Bombyx mori: one gene and its partners. The protein of the gene in region 1 binds, or shares a complex with, the protein of each later gene. Links are inferred from orthologs where the notes say so. Each region holds a gene or a part of one and is shown in the gene's direction. Other genes may lie near its edges. The genes, in order: mediator of RNA polymerase II transcription subunit 1, mediator of RNA polymerase II transcription subunit 21 and mediator of RNA polymerase II transcription subunit 9.

What was found.
Region 2: mediator of RNA polymerase II transcription subunit 1 (region 1) and mediator of RNA polymerase II transcription subunit 21 share a complex: the UniProt entries of both Drosophila melanogaster proteins name them as parts of the mediator complex. The link is inferred for Bombyx mori from reciprocal best matches to the Drosophila melanogaster genes MED1 and MED21.
Region 3: mediator of RNA polymerase II transcription subunit 1 (region 1) and mediator of RNA polymerase II transcription subunit 9 share a complex: the UniProt entries of both Drosophila melanogaster proteins name them as parts of the mediator complex. The link is inferred for Bombyx mori from reciprocal best matches to the Drosophila melanogaster genes MED1 and MED9.

The regions. Positions count from the first base shown.
Region 1 is NC_085114.1:6,960,003-6,965,551, forward strand, and holds part of mediator of RNA polymerase II transcription subunit 1, read left to right. Parts: intron 1-274; coding exon 275-398; intron 399-467; coding exon 468-584; intron 585-1,255; coding exon 1,256-1,394; intron 1,395-2,014; coding exon 2,015-2,261; intron 2,262-5,371; coding exon 5,372-5,501; intron 5,502-5,549. UniProt on the Drosophila melanogaster protein: Component of the Mediator complex, a coactivator involved in the regulated transcription of nearly all RNA polymerase II-dependent genes.
Region 2 is NC_085122.1:11,556,760-11,562,408, reverse strand, and holds mediator of RNA polymerase II transcription subunit 21, read left to right. Parts: upstream 1-1,887; 5' UTR 1,888-2,776; coding exon 2,777-2,818; intron 2,819-2,896; coding exon 2,897-3,175; intron 3,176-3,964; coding exon 3,965-4,090; 3' UTR 4,091-4,886; downstream 4,887-5,649. UniProt on the Drosophila melanogaster protein: Component of the Mediator complex, a coactivator involved in the regulated transcription of nearly all RNA polymerase II-dependent genes.
Region 3 is NC_085116.1:15,849,765-15,854,818, forward strand, and holds mediator of RNA polymerase II transcription subunit 9, read left to right. Parts: upstream 1-2,485; 5' UTR 2,486-2,762; coding exon 2,763-2,866; intron 2,867-2,949; coding exon 2,950-3,055; intron 3,056-3,245; coding exon 3,246-3,386; 3' UTR 3,387-3,749; downstream 3,750-5,054. Other genes in the region: ATP-dependent RNA helicase DHX8, read right to left, coding at 1-327, 592-685; GTP-binding protein 1, read right to left, coding at 4,951-5,054. UniProt on the Drosophila melanogaster protein: Component of the Mediator complex, a coactivator involved in the regulated transcription of nearly all RNA polymerase II-dependent genes.

The DNA.
Region 1 (5,549 bases):
GAAATGTAAAAGATAAACGTAAAATTAAAGCACAAATTTTATGTTTGATAAGCTGCTTTCTGGATACATAGTATATCTATGCTAATAGTTTTCAATCAGCCGCAGTGTTGTCTAACATACAAAATTATGCACTTTCTATTCACATCCTATGATGTGTTTATGTAATACAATTTGTATGATTTTTTTTTTAAATAAGAACCCTCGATAACGTAGTTTTGCCTTAGGATACTAAAAATAATATTGTGTAAATAAAGTATGTTTTGTATATTTTCAGATTAAAATTAGTAGTTGGCACTTCAGGAGTAAACTTGTTCATATCATCAGATATGTTTTATTTAGAGATACTTGTAGAATCATCGGGTTCCGTAAAAGATGTCAAAATACATCATGAAGGAAAGGTAATATATTTTTACTGTATGGGTGGATTTAAAATTTCACACAGTCATCTAAAAAATTTCTGTTTATAGATCGAACAACAAAGTTGTGAAGAATTGGTACACTGTATATCAGCTGGAGATTTCACAGATTTTACAGCACAATTAGAAGGTTTGACTGCTGTTTATCAACTTAATGCTGAGAAAAAGGCAAGTACTTACTTATTTATATGGGTAGCGAAAAGTATTTTAGTAAAGAAAAAAAAAACCTAGATTGATTTCATGATAAATTCATTCTTTGCAGATTAAGGTTTTGTTCTGTTTTCAGACTTACACCATAATATATTATAGCAATGATCATTTCAAGCAATTAATTTACCTATATTGTTTAATTAAAATTAAACTTTTTTCCCATTCTAACAAACTATGATCTCATCTTATTGATCTACTAATCTTGACTATTATAGTACATCAAAGCCTGAGTATATTTCTAGTCAGATTATCTATATTTCAAAAAATAAAATTACTGATGGTGGTCTGGATTTTCAGAATCCATTACACAAAAAAATACTTAGCCTGGGATGTTTTTAATTTCCCATTTAAATTCCTTAACACTGTTGAACAAATTAATAAAACATAGTTAATTTCTCATTACAAAAACAAAGGTACTTGATTACAAATTCTTAGTATTATACTCTATTAGGCAGCGGCTTGGCTCTGCCCCTGGCATTGCTGAAGTTCATGGGCGACGGTAACCACTCACCATCAGGTGGGCCGTATGCTCGTCTGCCTACAAGGGCAATAAAAAAAAAAAAAAAAAAAAAAAATTCCTATTCTTTAGTATACAGATCCCACATTTAAGACAAACTCGTTTGTTTTAGGTGAAATGTAAAGCATTCACTGCCCTTCAGAGCTTGGAAGATGACCTGTGTACGTTACGACAATTACAGAGTTTTATAAAAGATCCTTGGGCACAAGTACACAAGAGTCCCATAGGTTTTCTTCAGAAACGTAGAGGAGGTAAGACATACATAATTCGTAAGAAAGTATGTGATAATTAAGAAACATTTATCAAACTATTTTTAAAATTATTTTGAATGACTAGTAACCCGCTCCGGCTCCGCTCGGGTCTTTAACAAAAATATCAGAGATATTTGACGTTTTATTTTTTTAAATAATAGAACACTTATTGCGGCATAACTATAATAGTTAGAAATATGCTGTCGCGACACTTTTTGTAAATAATAATGTGTTCTACAAAGTCGTAGTATATTATTTTATTCTATCATCAATCGTTTTTGCAGGACACGCGATGTAAAGAATTTTTTAGGTAATTTTTTTACGCCTTGGGTTACATTATCGGAGTTTCAGTAAGGATCCCTAATTTTTTTCAAAAAAGATTATAGCCTATGTCACTGGGGAATAGTGTAGCTTCCAAATAATGAAAGAATTTTTCTAATCGGCTCAGTAGTTTCAGAGCCTATTCAATACAAACAAACAAACAAATCTTTCCTCTTTATAATATTAGTATAGATTAGTATAGATTTAAGTTGTTTTGAGTTAAACGGGTATTCTCATAAAATGATTAATACGGTGAATATAAAATATTCTATGCAATACTACCAAAATTCTTTTCGCAGGTCACGCGATGCGTCTAACGTACTTCGTTTCACCATACGAGCTATTAGACAAAGACGCGGGCCTACAGCCTCTCACGACTGAACTCTTGACGACCGGGAAACCTACGGCATCCAACGGCTTCGCTTCACACGGCACACCCGCCTACACTCCTATAGGTCATTCCGCCACTGTCTTATTAGAAGGCTCCACTGCCAATAAACTGCAGTTATCGACTATTATATCAAATGCCCAACGATCTGGAAAAAGGTGAGATTATATTTTATTAAAACTTTACTGTAACACTTGCCGAAGCAGACTTCATCCCTAGAATCCGGTCTAGAAACATTGCACTCATCACATTCATTCATCATTTTTCCGGCTTTGAAGTGAAATCATCCCCACAATAGGCTGAGCACTATGGTATGTCTTGCATTAAACGAGATTTGAAAATAATTTCCAACAATTGACTGGCTTATTTGTGCCCTCGTTTTTTTCATCGTTTCATTCTCGACATTTTGACATGAGGTCTCAGTATAGAGTTATGTTTCGCTCATCGCAGATAATGCATTAATAGTTGTGCAAATCATAGGCAGACCTACATATATTTGTATATTTAAAAATAGAATTGGATGCAAAGTATTAAAAAAAACCTTATTAAAACTATTTTTACGATTTAAAACTCTCATTTTTATTGTTTACACATTACGACTGACCATCCGTGATCCACATAAACTGTAAAGTCGAAACGTCGGAAATAATAATAATATAATGACAATAAAAACGCGAGTTTCAAACCGTAAAAATATTTTAAACTATAATATGTACGTATGACTCGCGAAAACCAAAGAATATAAAGTTAGTAAAATTCTTATTATTATTAATCGGATCAAGACAGAAATCACCAGCTCTACCAACTACACAAGGGCGGATCCAGGGGGGGGTCATGGGGGTCATGACCCCCCCTGAGCTGGTCCCTAGGTGGACCACATATTGAACATAATGATTTTAGGACACAATATGTTGTTGCTCCTTATATTGCTCCTTAATTAATTTAATGTAATATAATAACTTTGTATGATGGCAAATTTTAGGGAACGAACGCATCGAAAATTTGAGTTTTACCGCGCCACACTCGCGCGCCCTTGTCGACTACGTAACGTCTAGGTCTTTCTCTACGTTGCGCAGACTTAAATCGTGGCTAAGATCTTCAATGGTTGAAGATCGCCTAACCGGACTGGCACTTCTCCACGTTAATAAAAACGTTTTTTTTTTTTTATGCTTGAAGGATTACTGGTGGCCCGGAGGCCTTTCCGCTTCACCAGGACAGGTGGGCGAGCAAAGGCTCAGTGAGGAGGGCTGGGATTTGCTAACAACTGTCCAAGCGCCTCCGAAGGAGACCTAACAACTCAAGAGCAATTGCTTCGCGAATGAATCTACTACCGGATCGGAATCGCGACCCACTGAGAAGATCCGGCGAGAAACTCAGCGGGCTGATGCATGGGTTAGGTTGCACGTCGACCTCTTTGTCGAGTTGGACGAGTACGGTTTCCGGGGTTCCTCAGCCTGCTCCTAGTGTTAGAGCTGAAGGTATCTAATGCAAGAGTTATTGGATCTGATGGATCCGTAAGGACGTGTCTAGGGCGACGACGGTGACTTGCTCCTGCGTGATCAGGATTCGGGGAGTAATCAGCGGCGGCAACGATAAGGCGATTATCATGACGCATAGCCCTATCGAAGTAACGTTCCGACACTGACTTCATGTGTTTGCGGATCGATTCGAGGCCCAGGTCGTCGTGTAGGTCGACGTTCCTCACGAACTACGGAGCCCCGATGGCTAACCTGCAAAAGCGGGATTGTAGGGATTGGAGGGTGTCTATGTGTGTGCGGGCCGCGTGAGCGAACACCACACTCGCGTAAGTCATGACGGGCCTTATGCAAGTTTTGTAAAGTGTCACCTTGTTCCGAAGGGACATTTTACTCCGCTTACAGATCATGGGATAGAGTCTGCCGAGAATAAATGCGGCACGGTCACGGACTGTTTTTACATGCGGGCGGAATGTCATGGATGCATCCAGGGTGACTCCCAGGTACTTGACCTTCCTGGCCCAGGGTATAGGTTGGCCGAAGAGGGTGATCGGGGGTGTGATATTTCTCCTCCTAATGCGGGAGGAAATAAGCGGTGAGTTTCCCCTTTGAAATAACACTGCTGTGCTTTTCGCTGGGTTGATGTCTATGCGCCATTTTCGGAACCACTGTCCGAGGGTTAACGCTGCACTCTGGAGCTTACTCGCGACTAGGGACTTGTTTCTACTTGAGTAGGTTGTGTCGTCAGCGAATAAGGCTAGCTGGGGCCCACTGAGTTTCTCGCCGGATCTTCTCAGTGGGTCGCGTTTCCGATCCGGTGGTAGATTCTGCGAAGCACGGCTCTTGCTAGGGTTCGTGTTAGCAACGTCATCAGGTTTGAGCCCCGTGAGCTCACCTACAAAAGTTAGGGTTACGCTGACATAGCCTCTCAAGGCTCTCAGCTTAGGTAGGAAAAAAAAAAAAAAAAAAAGAAAAGGTAACTGGGTCGGCGGCGATCGGGGAATATCATTGACAAATAAACTAAATAGGAGCGGAGAAAGAACGGAGCTTTGCGGGACTCCAGCCGTGAGTGGTCGCGGGGAGGAGCGGGTTCCCTCTACTCGATATCGAAAAGAGCAGTTAGACAAGAAGTCCCGTATGATGAGCACGAGACTGTCCGGTACACCCATGTTGAAAAGTTTGAAAATCAAACCGTTGTGCCAGACTGTCGAAGAAGAGGGCTCCCGTGTAGATCGGTTTTGTCATAAAAACGTACCCATTGACGTAAATGACGTAATAACGCCTTTCGGGAGAAGACGTAAAAGAAAAATTGATTTTGTTATTTAAATATGTATTTTGTCTGTTTCTATTTTGTTTGTTGGAAACCCTTGTCGTACCACTTTTGCGGACTTTTGCGTCATACCCCTCGACATACCTTTAGCTGTTATGACAAACCATTCACCACGGTTATGGAATATAAATAAGCTGCCTCATTCCGGGCGTGATAGTGCTTCTCTGGATGTCTTCAAGAGAAGATGACAATATGTACGTGTATATGTAGGTACAAGTTATTATGTGTTAAGTTTTTCAAGTGTACAATAAAGAATAAATATTTCTAAGTACAGTACTTACGTACATTAATAAAATACCTACTTTTTACTTGCATCTATTGTTATCAAAATTAAATTATAAGTTCTTGACTTGACCATGACTATGTGACCCCCTCCTGGCACCAAAGCTGGATCCGCCCTTGCAACTACATGTCATTTGTGGAAACGCTTATAACCTTTAAATTTTATTGTTGCCCTTTAAAGCAACGGTCCCGTATACGCGCCACTGGTACCCCAGAACAGTGCGATGCTGCCGGCTTGCTTCACCCTCAAACTGTCGCAGCCGACGCCGCTGTGCTCGGGCCTAGCGAAATTAATACAAGCCACGACAGAGGTATGTGTATAACTTGACGTTTGACCCCCTTCGTATATAGCAGTAACA
Region 2 (5,649 bases), on another chromosome or scaffold:
CAGTAGTTTCGGAGCCTATTCAATACAAACAAACACACAAATCTTTCCTCTTTATAATATTAGTATAGACTAGCGACCCGCCCTCGCTTCGCTTCGGAAACATTAAAACACACATGAAACCAAAAAAATAAAATCAGGGACAATGTCGGCTTCTAATGGAAAAAGAATTTTTCAAATCGGTCCAGTAGTTTCGGAGCCTATTCGAAACAAACAAACAAATCTTTCCTCTTTATAATATTAGTATAGAAGTATTAAGTATAAAAGTATAGATTAATTCCTTTAACGGACGGTAGTAGGGGCACTGTTTAAATCCTATCTATTTTTTCTCGATAGAGATACGAATACTTTTTCGATAGTCATTCGTGCTTGCCCTTCAGAGTGTAAAGCTTTAATGAGGATTGAAAATTTTATTAATTATAGCTAAATCCAATACTTAGCATGATTGTTTGCACTTGATTCTAAATGAAAAGTTAAGCTTTGTGATGCTCTCTAACAAAACTAATTGTGAATTGTTAAAACTATTTCATTGTGTGATTTTTTAAAAGTTTTAGTAAATAGTCATTACTTGTTGCTATGTTTATAACTATATTTATGCATAAAATTTGATAATAAATTGAGAATAGATCTATAATTTTAAGGTATTTGATAATAATTTTGGTACTATAGTGTGAAGCTTTGAAGTTTTCAAACAATTTATCTAAATTGTTTTAAAACATTTTTAATAACAATCACGAGGTTTTGTGTGTGTGTGTTTTTTTTTCTGTGCACAATTTAAAACCTCTGTCTTTGTAAATGTGGCCGCAAACGGGGGTTGCTAGCTGATAAAGATGGAAACCTAGATCCAAAGTAGAGTGAGAGAGTTAATGCGTAACATCGTTTGTCAGACAAGGATGGCGGTAGACAAACTTACCCTATTTAAAAATTAAAAACTAATGCGCATGCGTCGAGTGCTAGTTTATTCAACCAACTGCGCTCACTTTCTTACTTTACAAACGATAATTTAGTTAGGTACTCAAAAAAAAGTGGGAATTTTTATTTGCTATATTATTATGCTAATGAATTATATTCATATTGCTGTTATTAGTAAAGTTTTGTACTTAATTTATAAAAAAATTAGATGCTATGTTGGGTATGTACATACAGTACTCAAAAATCTAATTTAGCAATTTTCATTGTTGACTTCTAAGCAATTTAAATTCGATAACGGCGGATTTCTATCATAAAAATGTGATACCGCAAATGCTTAGTTATTTTTAAAGAGTGCAGGTTAGGCTGAAAGCTATCTAGTCTTTTATTGTTAATTCGTACGAGAATAGCGCGAAAGCGGTGATGGAAGTTTTTTTTCCTACCTATTCGGTAGCCTACACACACTGCGACGCAACTTCTTGATGAATTTTAGTTGTTACAAAAATGACGCGAGGATTTGATATTTACTTATTGCGCGACAGGAGGTGTTTGTTGATTGTAAAAAAAATGGCTTACACGAAACGAAAAGAAAAACGGAAAACTTTTACAAATTAGTAAAGTTCTGCCAATTTTACTATAGCACAGCTGCCTTAGATTGAATTAGACTAATAGTTGTAGTAGTCATTAAACAATAACATGTTTGAACACACAACCTCGTTATATCCGTAATGTGAATCCAGCTTATTGTTAATGTTGTTTCATTGAATAACTAAAATTTAAAAATAATCGTTTAAGGTCTGAAATGAAAGAGGTTCATTAATGGTTTTTTATTATACTTAAATACTCAATAATTGTGATGTTTTTCTAGTCGGTAATATTATGGTTACCTATTGTGTACACTGCTTACATTAAATAAAGGAAATTTTGAAATTCATTTCATTGCCTATAATTAAAGTTTTTTAATTTTTTTTATATGTAGATGGGTGGAAGAGCTCATAGTCCACCTGGTGTTAAGTGATACCGGAGCCCATAGATATCTATAACGTAAATACCGTCACCCACCTTGAGATATGAGTTCTAAGGTATACTTACAACGGCTGCCCCACCCTTCAAACCGAAACGTCAAGTGGTCCTGTTATTAGCAACATTACTATTTAGCTTATAATGTATATAACGGAGAAATGGTTTTCTAAATTTTAATACTGATGAGAATGATTGCAGTTCTAAATGTATTTTTTTATTGCCCTTGTAGGCAGACGAGCATACGGCCCACCTGATGGTAAGTGGTTACCATCGCCCATGGACTTCAGCAATGCCAGGGACAGCCAAGTCGCTGCCTACCGTTAAGTACTTTCCGCAAGCCTCGTTTGAAGAAGAATACGTCATAGCGCTCGGAAAACACCGTGGAGCGGAGCTCATTCCAAAGCCGTATGGTACGTGGCAAAAAAGATCTCTGGCTTAAAATGGCGTTACTATTCCAAATTAGGTACTGTTTTGCTGCACGCCAAAGTTAAACGATCGTAATATAATTGTTTCCTTACAGAACTTCAAGTTATTTGGATTTTAGATTAATGTCTCAAATGAATCAACTTTATTTCATTTCGCTCCATATGATCATTTTTCATGAAAGAGAATAGAATGTACATACAAAAGACTAGGATGTATGGTGTGTGATATCTTCGCCTTTCCACCTGGAAATATTGGAAATATTACTTAAAAACGTCATAACGTTCAACTTCAAATAACTTCATTCAAAAGGTAGTTTTACAAATTGATACTGTAGGTAGCTTAAAACCACCTTCCATAGAAAATATCCATATAAGGATTAAATTTTAACAGTGGTTAGTAGGATAAATATCTGAATTGAATAATGGCTGATCGCTTAACTCAGCTTCAAGATACCATAAACCAAGTACGTATGACAAAAATGAACATTTCGTTTTAATTGACATTAATACATTTCACATACGTTGTATTTATTTATTTGTAGCAAGCTGAGAATTTTTGTAACAGCATCGGAATTCTACAGCAGTTCTCGTTGCCTAGCAAGTTCCCAGGCTTCGAACGCGGTGGTTCTCAGACTCCTCAACAACCGCAGAGTCAAGAGGATTATGCGGTTTTATTCGCGGCTCTAATTTCTCGTTGTGCTAAGGACATTGACACGCTCATCGAGTCTTTGCCCAGTGAAGAGAGTTCAACTGAGCTGCAAGTGCAAAGCCTTCGGCGACTTGAGGCCGAGAACAAGGAGGCTGCTGAGCAACTTGAAGAGGTAAGGGCTGTCAACTCTCCGTGCCCAATACACGTGCAATTTATCTCAAAGGACACTAGCTTTCTTTTTTATCATAAATTGGGAATTATCATGTAACTAAACCATTAAAATAATGATTTTAAAGAAGTAATTATGCCATGCAGTTTGCTTTTGTATTGCCATTTGAATGTAAAATCAAATATTCCAAGAAAGTATTTGTATTACAGACATTGTATTTTGTCTATAGTCAACTTTTGTAATGTAAACAAGCACCAATATTTAAACATAAATTAGTACCTACTTAAGATAAAATTGACAGTAATAGCGATTTGGTTAAAGTTGTTTCCTTAACTTCATTTTGAGATGGCACACTGGAATTGTATCAGCGAATATTACTTTATTCAATTTTCAAAACCCATAGGGTGTTTACAGATTAATCTCATGTTTTAGATTGCCATGACTACAAAAACTTATAGTATTTGAAATATTGGAAGTAATCATATCGACGCTTGAAAGGCAAACGTGACTAAGCGACAATGCGTGAACTTCACAGTAGACTAATTTCAAGATGAAATACCTGAAAAAATTCTATTTTAACGAAACTAGCTGTAGGATTGAAATGATTTTAATAGACCTAGAAATATATTTTTTTTGGCATTGAATATGGTTATTGCCTATCATGTATAAAGCAGTTATTGTCGCTTAGTCACGTTTGCCTTTCAAGCGTCGATATGAAAATAATTACACATGACTTACTCTCTTTTCATTAGCGTTAATAATAATGTCAGACAATATTTAATAATTCTACAGGTAGTCCGTCAAGGAGAGATTCTTCTAGAGAAGATTCAGGGTGCTCTGAGTGATATTGCTCAGTGCCAGTTGGACATGCAGAATCCGGCTCTGATCCTCAACAAGGATGTGAAACCACAGTTATAGGGATGGGGTCTGGGGTTCTACCAACGGTAGTTTCCTCTACAAAAGGATACGTTAAAACAAGAATACACGGAAGTATTTTAGTATTATATGAATTTTAAAATTTTGTGTTTGAAATCTTAATGCTTAATGACGAAGATTTTTTTTTGTTGTTTGCAAATTTGTTACAGGGCTTTCATGCCGGTGAAAACTAAATTGTCTGAATGTCATATTTTTGAAACTATAATAAGAAAAACATTGGTATGACATATATCATTTTAAGTAATCATTTGTTATAATTGAATAGTTAAGTATACATGACTTGTTTATTCATTATTTTCTATTATTACGTAAGGCATACTTTAAGTCTGAAAGGGTAGGTACCGCCACTCTGCCTATACATACTGTAAAGCCGTTGTTTTCCAGTTTTGAAGCACAGGTTAGTTGTTGATGATGATTTTGAGATGAGTGGCGGCAATGACTGGGATCTCTGGGCTATGTTAATCTCTTAATATTAGATGAACTCGTTCATCTATATACATAAAATAAAATGAACACAAGGAAAAAGTAAAGGTGATTGTATTCAATGATGAACATGAGTTTTAATTAAATTAAAAAATATTTATGTTTTATGTTTAATTAATTTAATTAAGTTATTATGTTTAATTAAAGGTTTAATTTTTCTTTTTGTTGTACGCCCTGTATATGCTGGAATGGACTCGAATCTAAATATTAATATACTTTAGAGATTGGAAATAGAAAACTATAATCTTGAAATGAAAAAAAATCTATATGATTGAAAATAAATGTTGATAGCTAAGAGTGTTTTATTAAATCAAATGTTTTATTTGTATAAATTTCAATACTGATTCAATGGTAAAGAATAGTTTAATTTAGTAGAAGTAGTGTTCCTTCAGGTTTATATATGTATTAATGGTAGCTTATTTACATTTTAGCATCTCTGAAAGTGCACATGTGTGGGAAATTAGAACAAAGTTCCTATATGTGGCTTAACGGCTTCCTCCAAAAAGCGTCAGTAAATTCCCATCCTGTTACTGGGACGTTATTTCATTTTATCTCATCTCGTTTTACTTCTTTCCAATTAATTTCATATTAATACATTAAAATTTCAAATAAATGATCTTCATTTCATTCTACTACTATCATTGTAGCTTTTAGATAACTAATGGAACAAGCAAGTTTATCGAGTAAGTTGTACATTCGATTTATAAAATTCTTATTGGCTGGATGACTTGACAAAGTATGGTAAAATAATTCTATAACTATACTGAGATCTTACAACTTATATCTCAAGGTGGGTCTATAGGCTCCTGTAACCATTCATCACCAGGTGGGCTGTGAGCCCGTCCACCCATCTAAGCAACAAAAAAAAAAATACAATAAATTCAAAAACATTATTGGCTGTAATAGTCACATCTAAATGTTTTGGAATATTATATTACTATTTATGGTTTGTTACCTACTAACTCAAATGCTAATTAAAAAAATACGCATCTGATATTCTATCAACCCTTTTTTTTTTTCGTCGTGAACATTGAAATTCCTTGCTTTTTACCATCACA
Region 3 (5,054 bases), on another chromosome or scaffold:
TAGAACTTGGTTTAATTTCTTCTGTAAATAAGTCTTTGGCTGTTATTCTCTTTTTGTCTTTTTCATCATCACTACTTTCATCAGAAAAAGATTGAGGTTTATCATTTGGTATGGCCAAGCCAGGAAACTTTTTTGCCAAAGGATTTTCACTTTCAGTTTCGGCAATATTTTTAATCAATGTTGATGTATTCACAGGTTTCATGTGCTGTATTATACGGAGTAGATTTGTCATGAAGGAATCAGAAAATTCAGCCCCATTTTCAACCAATGCTACTTTAAAAGTTTCAAATGTTGGATTCTTATCAGCCAAATCTATGATGAATTCCGCTGCAACAAATATAGTAATTTAAAATTCCAGACACAATTTTGTATGAAAAAATTAGAGATGTTAAAACACAAGAACCTCGAAGTATGGTAAAAGGATCTCTTTGTTTCTGACTAGCTCCAATTAACCTGATTAAAAAATGCTCGTTTTAATCTATCGTATCGGTTAACATAATTATTGCTTGGTATAAGCAACGCTGTATTTATTCTATGACATCGTTCTTTTATCATGTAATTTAATGATCAAAACAAAAGTAGTCTACTCACCTAAATCCTTGTCGTTCAAACCTAAATGGTTGTCTAGCTCGGTGCATATTTTAGACACGAGCGAAAGATGCTCTAATTTAGTGACTTCGTCCATTTTAAGTATTAGCTTCACTTTAAAACCATCAAATCTAACAAATTCTAACGTATGAACAAAGTCACACAAAACTCACATTTTTAGGCTATTTTGACTTTACTGTTTAACGAAGACTGTCACCTGTCAAAAACAAAGTGGTAGTTCCACTTTTCCAACTAAAAAGGCAAAAGTATCATACCATACAGCCTAATATGCTATTTTTTTTTTATGACAAAAAATAGTTATGACATGAAATGAAATGAAATTAATTCATTTGGAACATTAATAAATTGACCTAAAATTAAATGAAATGAGATGAGATGATATGGGATGAAATATAATTTCAGTAAAATTGTGGTTATTTACTGAAACTTTTTCAGTAAACTTTTTAGACGATCCCGAGAAGCAACGTCCAGCAGCTTTATTTCATTTTCCCACATTGGTGCACTTTCACAGATATTAAATTATTAATAAACCACCGTTATTGTTAAGTTACACATTTAATCCTGAATAAACACTAAATAGAAAAATAAAAAAATAAAAAAACTTCGTTCCTCGTATACCCTGTCAGAAACAAAATAACACACAGCAACACACTCTTAACTCATATTTTAATATACGTACGAACCATAGAAAATGATTCGGATAGAGCCTGCTACTGATGTTTCGAAGTGCCATTTGGCGTTCTTAAAATCTGATGCGATTTCAATACTAAAACGTATCACTACAGAGCTTCTTGATTTAGAAAGAATGGGGTATTTTATTACCGTAGCACCTCTGATTGATATATTTTTAATTAATTAAAATCACTAAGCACATATTATAATTAGTTGAGTAAAAACAATTACCTTCAGCGTGAATAAACTTAGTAGAATTTTAAAACTTTCGTAGAGTCGGGCCTAAAATTTATGCAGAATATAATGATAGGTAAGTAGTTTAAAAAATTTCTATTTTCTTAGTCGATTCCAAAATCTTGGCAGAAATAGGAGAAGATAACTTGTCTGAGTTGTGCTATTTTCTTAATCCAGTGTTTCTACAAGTTTAATAAATAGCAACGGTTTCGTATTCGTGAAAGTGGATAAGATTAAGAAAATGGAACCAAGTTGTTGAACTTGGTTTTTCAAGCGTTTCTAAAAAGTTAAGTGACGAGTAAACTCTCACTATTGTTCAGACTGATTAATTTATTTCGTCCCATAAAACACCGATGGTCATATAATTTCATTCAAATTCATTTTATTTCAAACATTTTTTTCATTTTATTTTACTTTTCTTTAACAGACATTACTACAGCCTTTGTAAAAAAAAGATGTGTGGTGTCGTGGGACACCGGATAGGAACGAAGTTCCTTATTATAAAAATATTAATTTCAAGTTCTATTCGAGGTCTAAAGAAAATAATTATTCAGGTATACATTTTTATTATTTTATTTTTTATTGATAAAAATATAATAATAATTACATTACAAAGTTATCAACTTTATTTTATTCACAATGATTTATAAAAAATTATAATAATAATATACAAAGAAACAGCTATTTATACGAATTATAATAATAACCGTCATCACGTAGACTATACATTAGACACTGTATAGCCATCGTACTAAGAATATACATAAAAAGAGAAAGGTATTATACACTACTCGCTTGTGTATATGACTGTCGCGCCTGCGCACGTCTTATTTAACGGTTTTATTCCACGGACTTTTTCTTACGGTTTTACTATCACATTTTTTTCAGTTCGGACGTGCAGCAAAATCCCTATCTCCTCCAAGCCTGCCGTAAAGAACTTCGTTCCAAAAATTTCGTGTATGAGCTTTATTTCCTTTGCTTGTCGAACACCGATCACACAAACATTCGACTTATTCTCCGCGATTTCGTCCATAGTCCATTGCTGTCCATAGATAACACAATAACACATCATTATTTTTGTCGTTTTCGGTTTTGTGATGGTAAAGAATCTACCTACTTTTTTACGTACCTAGGTTTATGTGTTTAATAACCATAATCTAATAAATTTATAAATTAATAAACAACGTACGTATAATAAAATCTGTTACATAATAAGCAAGTGAAAAATTGTGCTTAAAATTTGTACAATGGAAAACAACACAGATCATTCAGAACAGACGAACTACAGTCCCCTGACTGTTGAGGATGTAGATGTAGACTTTTTACCGATTGTATACGATATAATACGAAGGTATTTTGCGTATTATTTGAGACAAACTAGATTTGCTCAAGTTCATTTTGTATTTTCTGGTGCTTTAAATGTTTTTATTACAGCGTGGAGAGAGATTTTCACGACAACGCGTCGAAAATACGCGAGTCCCACGAGTGCAGTCATAGAGTTCTTGAATTACAAAAGAGGCTAGAAATAGCTAAAGCTCAGGTGAGATTACTTTCAAATACTGGAAACATACTTGGTATTTAACATTTGTAATGTAAAAATAATATGCTAAGTCAGCATAATTTTTGTATTTTGAGGAATCAAATTTATCATGAACTCATACACAAGTATCTGCCATAATATATCATCAACCAGTACACAATTATCTGCAATAATATATCACTCATTTCAGATCAGGAGGCTCCCAGGTATAGAATTCAACAAACACGACCAGCTGAAGCAATTTGAACTGCTCCGCACTCAGCTGAGATTAAAGCGTGAACTCTTACAGAAGTATCGGAATATGTGCTCATTTGAGACATCATTCAAGTGAAGATGCCTCTACGTGCGCTGCTTAAATACTTAGCCAATAATGAACGAATTGTACAGAAGATTGCAGAGTCCTACCCTGTACGAAGAGCAGCTCAGTTAGCTGTCTCAGTATTTTACAGAGGGAAGGAAAAGCTCTCTGATGTTGATCCACAGAAAGTTAATAAATTTATAGAGTTTTTAAAAAGGTTCAGTGCAAATTTGAAGGAAGGAGTACAGGATGCAAAAAAACAACTGAAAAAATAATAATAGTTCCTTGGATGTTTTTGGCTAACCATGGATTAGTTGCTGTTGATTGTAATTCACTATCAGTAGTGTCCTTTACATAATATAACTACTAAATTAGATAATAAAAAACTGTAACATAGTTAGAGCTATTTTTATTTCACTCACTCTGAACAAATCAATAAAAATATAAACTTTACTTAATTCTAAGAAAAAATCACAATATTGCAATGGTATTCATTGTAAATGTCAAAATATTGAAAATATATTTACTTTTAGAAAGCAGCTAGCTTCACTAATTTTATTGCGATTATAAGGTTTTCAGAGTTAAGGCAATGATGATTCAAAACTCTGATCTCATTAACTTTAATTTTTATTTTTAAGTGTTCAAATATTTTAAGTGACCCTAAAAGATTAAGCTTAGTGCTGTAAAAATATATACTTGAGTTTTAATTAGTGTTATAAGAACCTCGAGGTTATTAGTGATTTAACTTGCGAAAATATGCCGACCCATTGTGACAGGTGGATTAGCGGTATGGCTTGAGGCTGTCTAGATTAATCAGTGTCACTACGTCCCCAGAAAACGACAGGAGTTCTACCCTTGGTAGTAAAACTACTAAATTGTACTATGCAACAATCACTAGAAAAACCTTTAAGTTAGATAAAAAGATCAATATAGATTTTAGATTAATTTGAATAGTATGTGCCACTTTCCAGCCAGTCATTTTAGAGCAATAGTTTTGTATTAAAAGTAAAATATAGTTGTTTTACATTTAATACAGATTCTTCTCCGAATATTTGTAAAGTTATTTATCGATTGAATTACATTCTTAAAGGCGATTGCACAGTATTAGTATATTGAATAATATAATTTCGATGATAATGTATCTAGCAAACTTCTAGAAGTCCTAATTATAACTGTCCTCTGTGGACAAATATTAATATATTTTTTTTAATATTTAAAGAAAGAATTCAGATACGTTAAATTTACAGCCACTATTTCACAGAAATTAGTAACTATTAAAGTTGACAGACTTGATTAAGCTAAGTCTACCAAAAAATGTTTCTTTTTTCAATGTACATTTCTTGTACTTTTTGTGCCTATCCTACTTAAATGGTAAAAGGAAAACATTTTCAACCTATACCTACCGTATTTATGTAAAAATGAACTATAATTCTGACATTTGACGTTCAAGCATTTTTATTGAACAAAAAACTTTATTGGCATTTTCATCAAGCGCCCTTCATACCAAAATTGAAAAAGTTTAAAATGAGAGAAAAAACCCCAAAAATTATAATTTTCTTCTAGATTAGTAACACTGTCGTCTTGACTGCAGCGTGTATTAATTAGCCGCAGCGACGGTCGGTTGTGTGGGTTCGGGCGGCTTGTCGTGTCTCTTCCGACCACGACGCCCCCCTCCCGCCCCTCCGCCTTGGACGCGCTTGT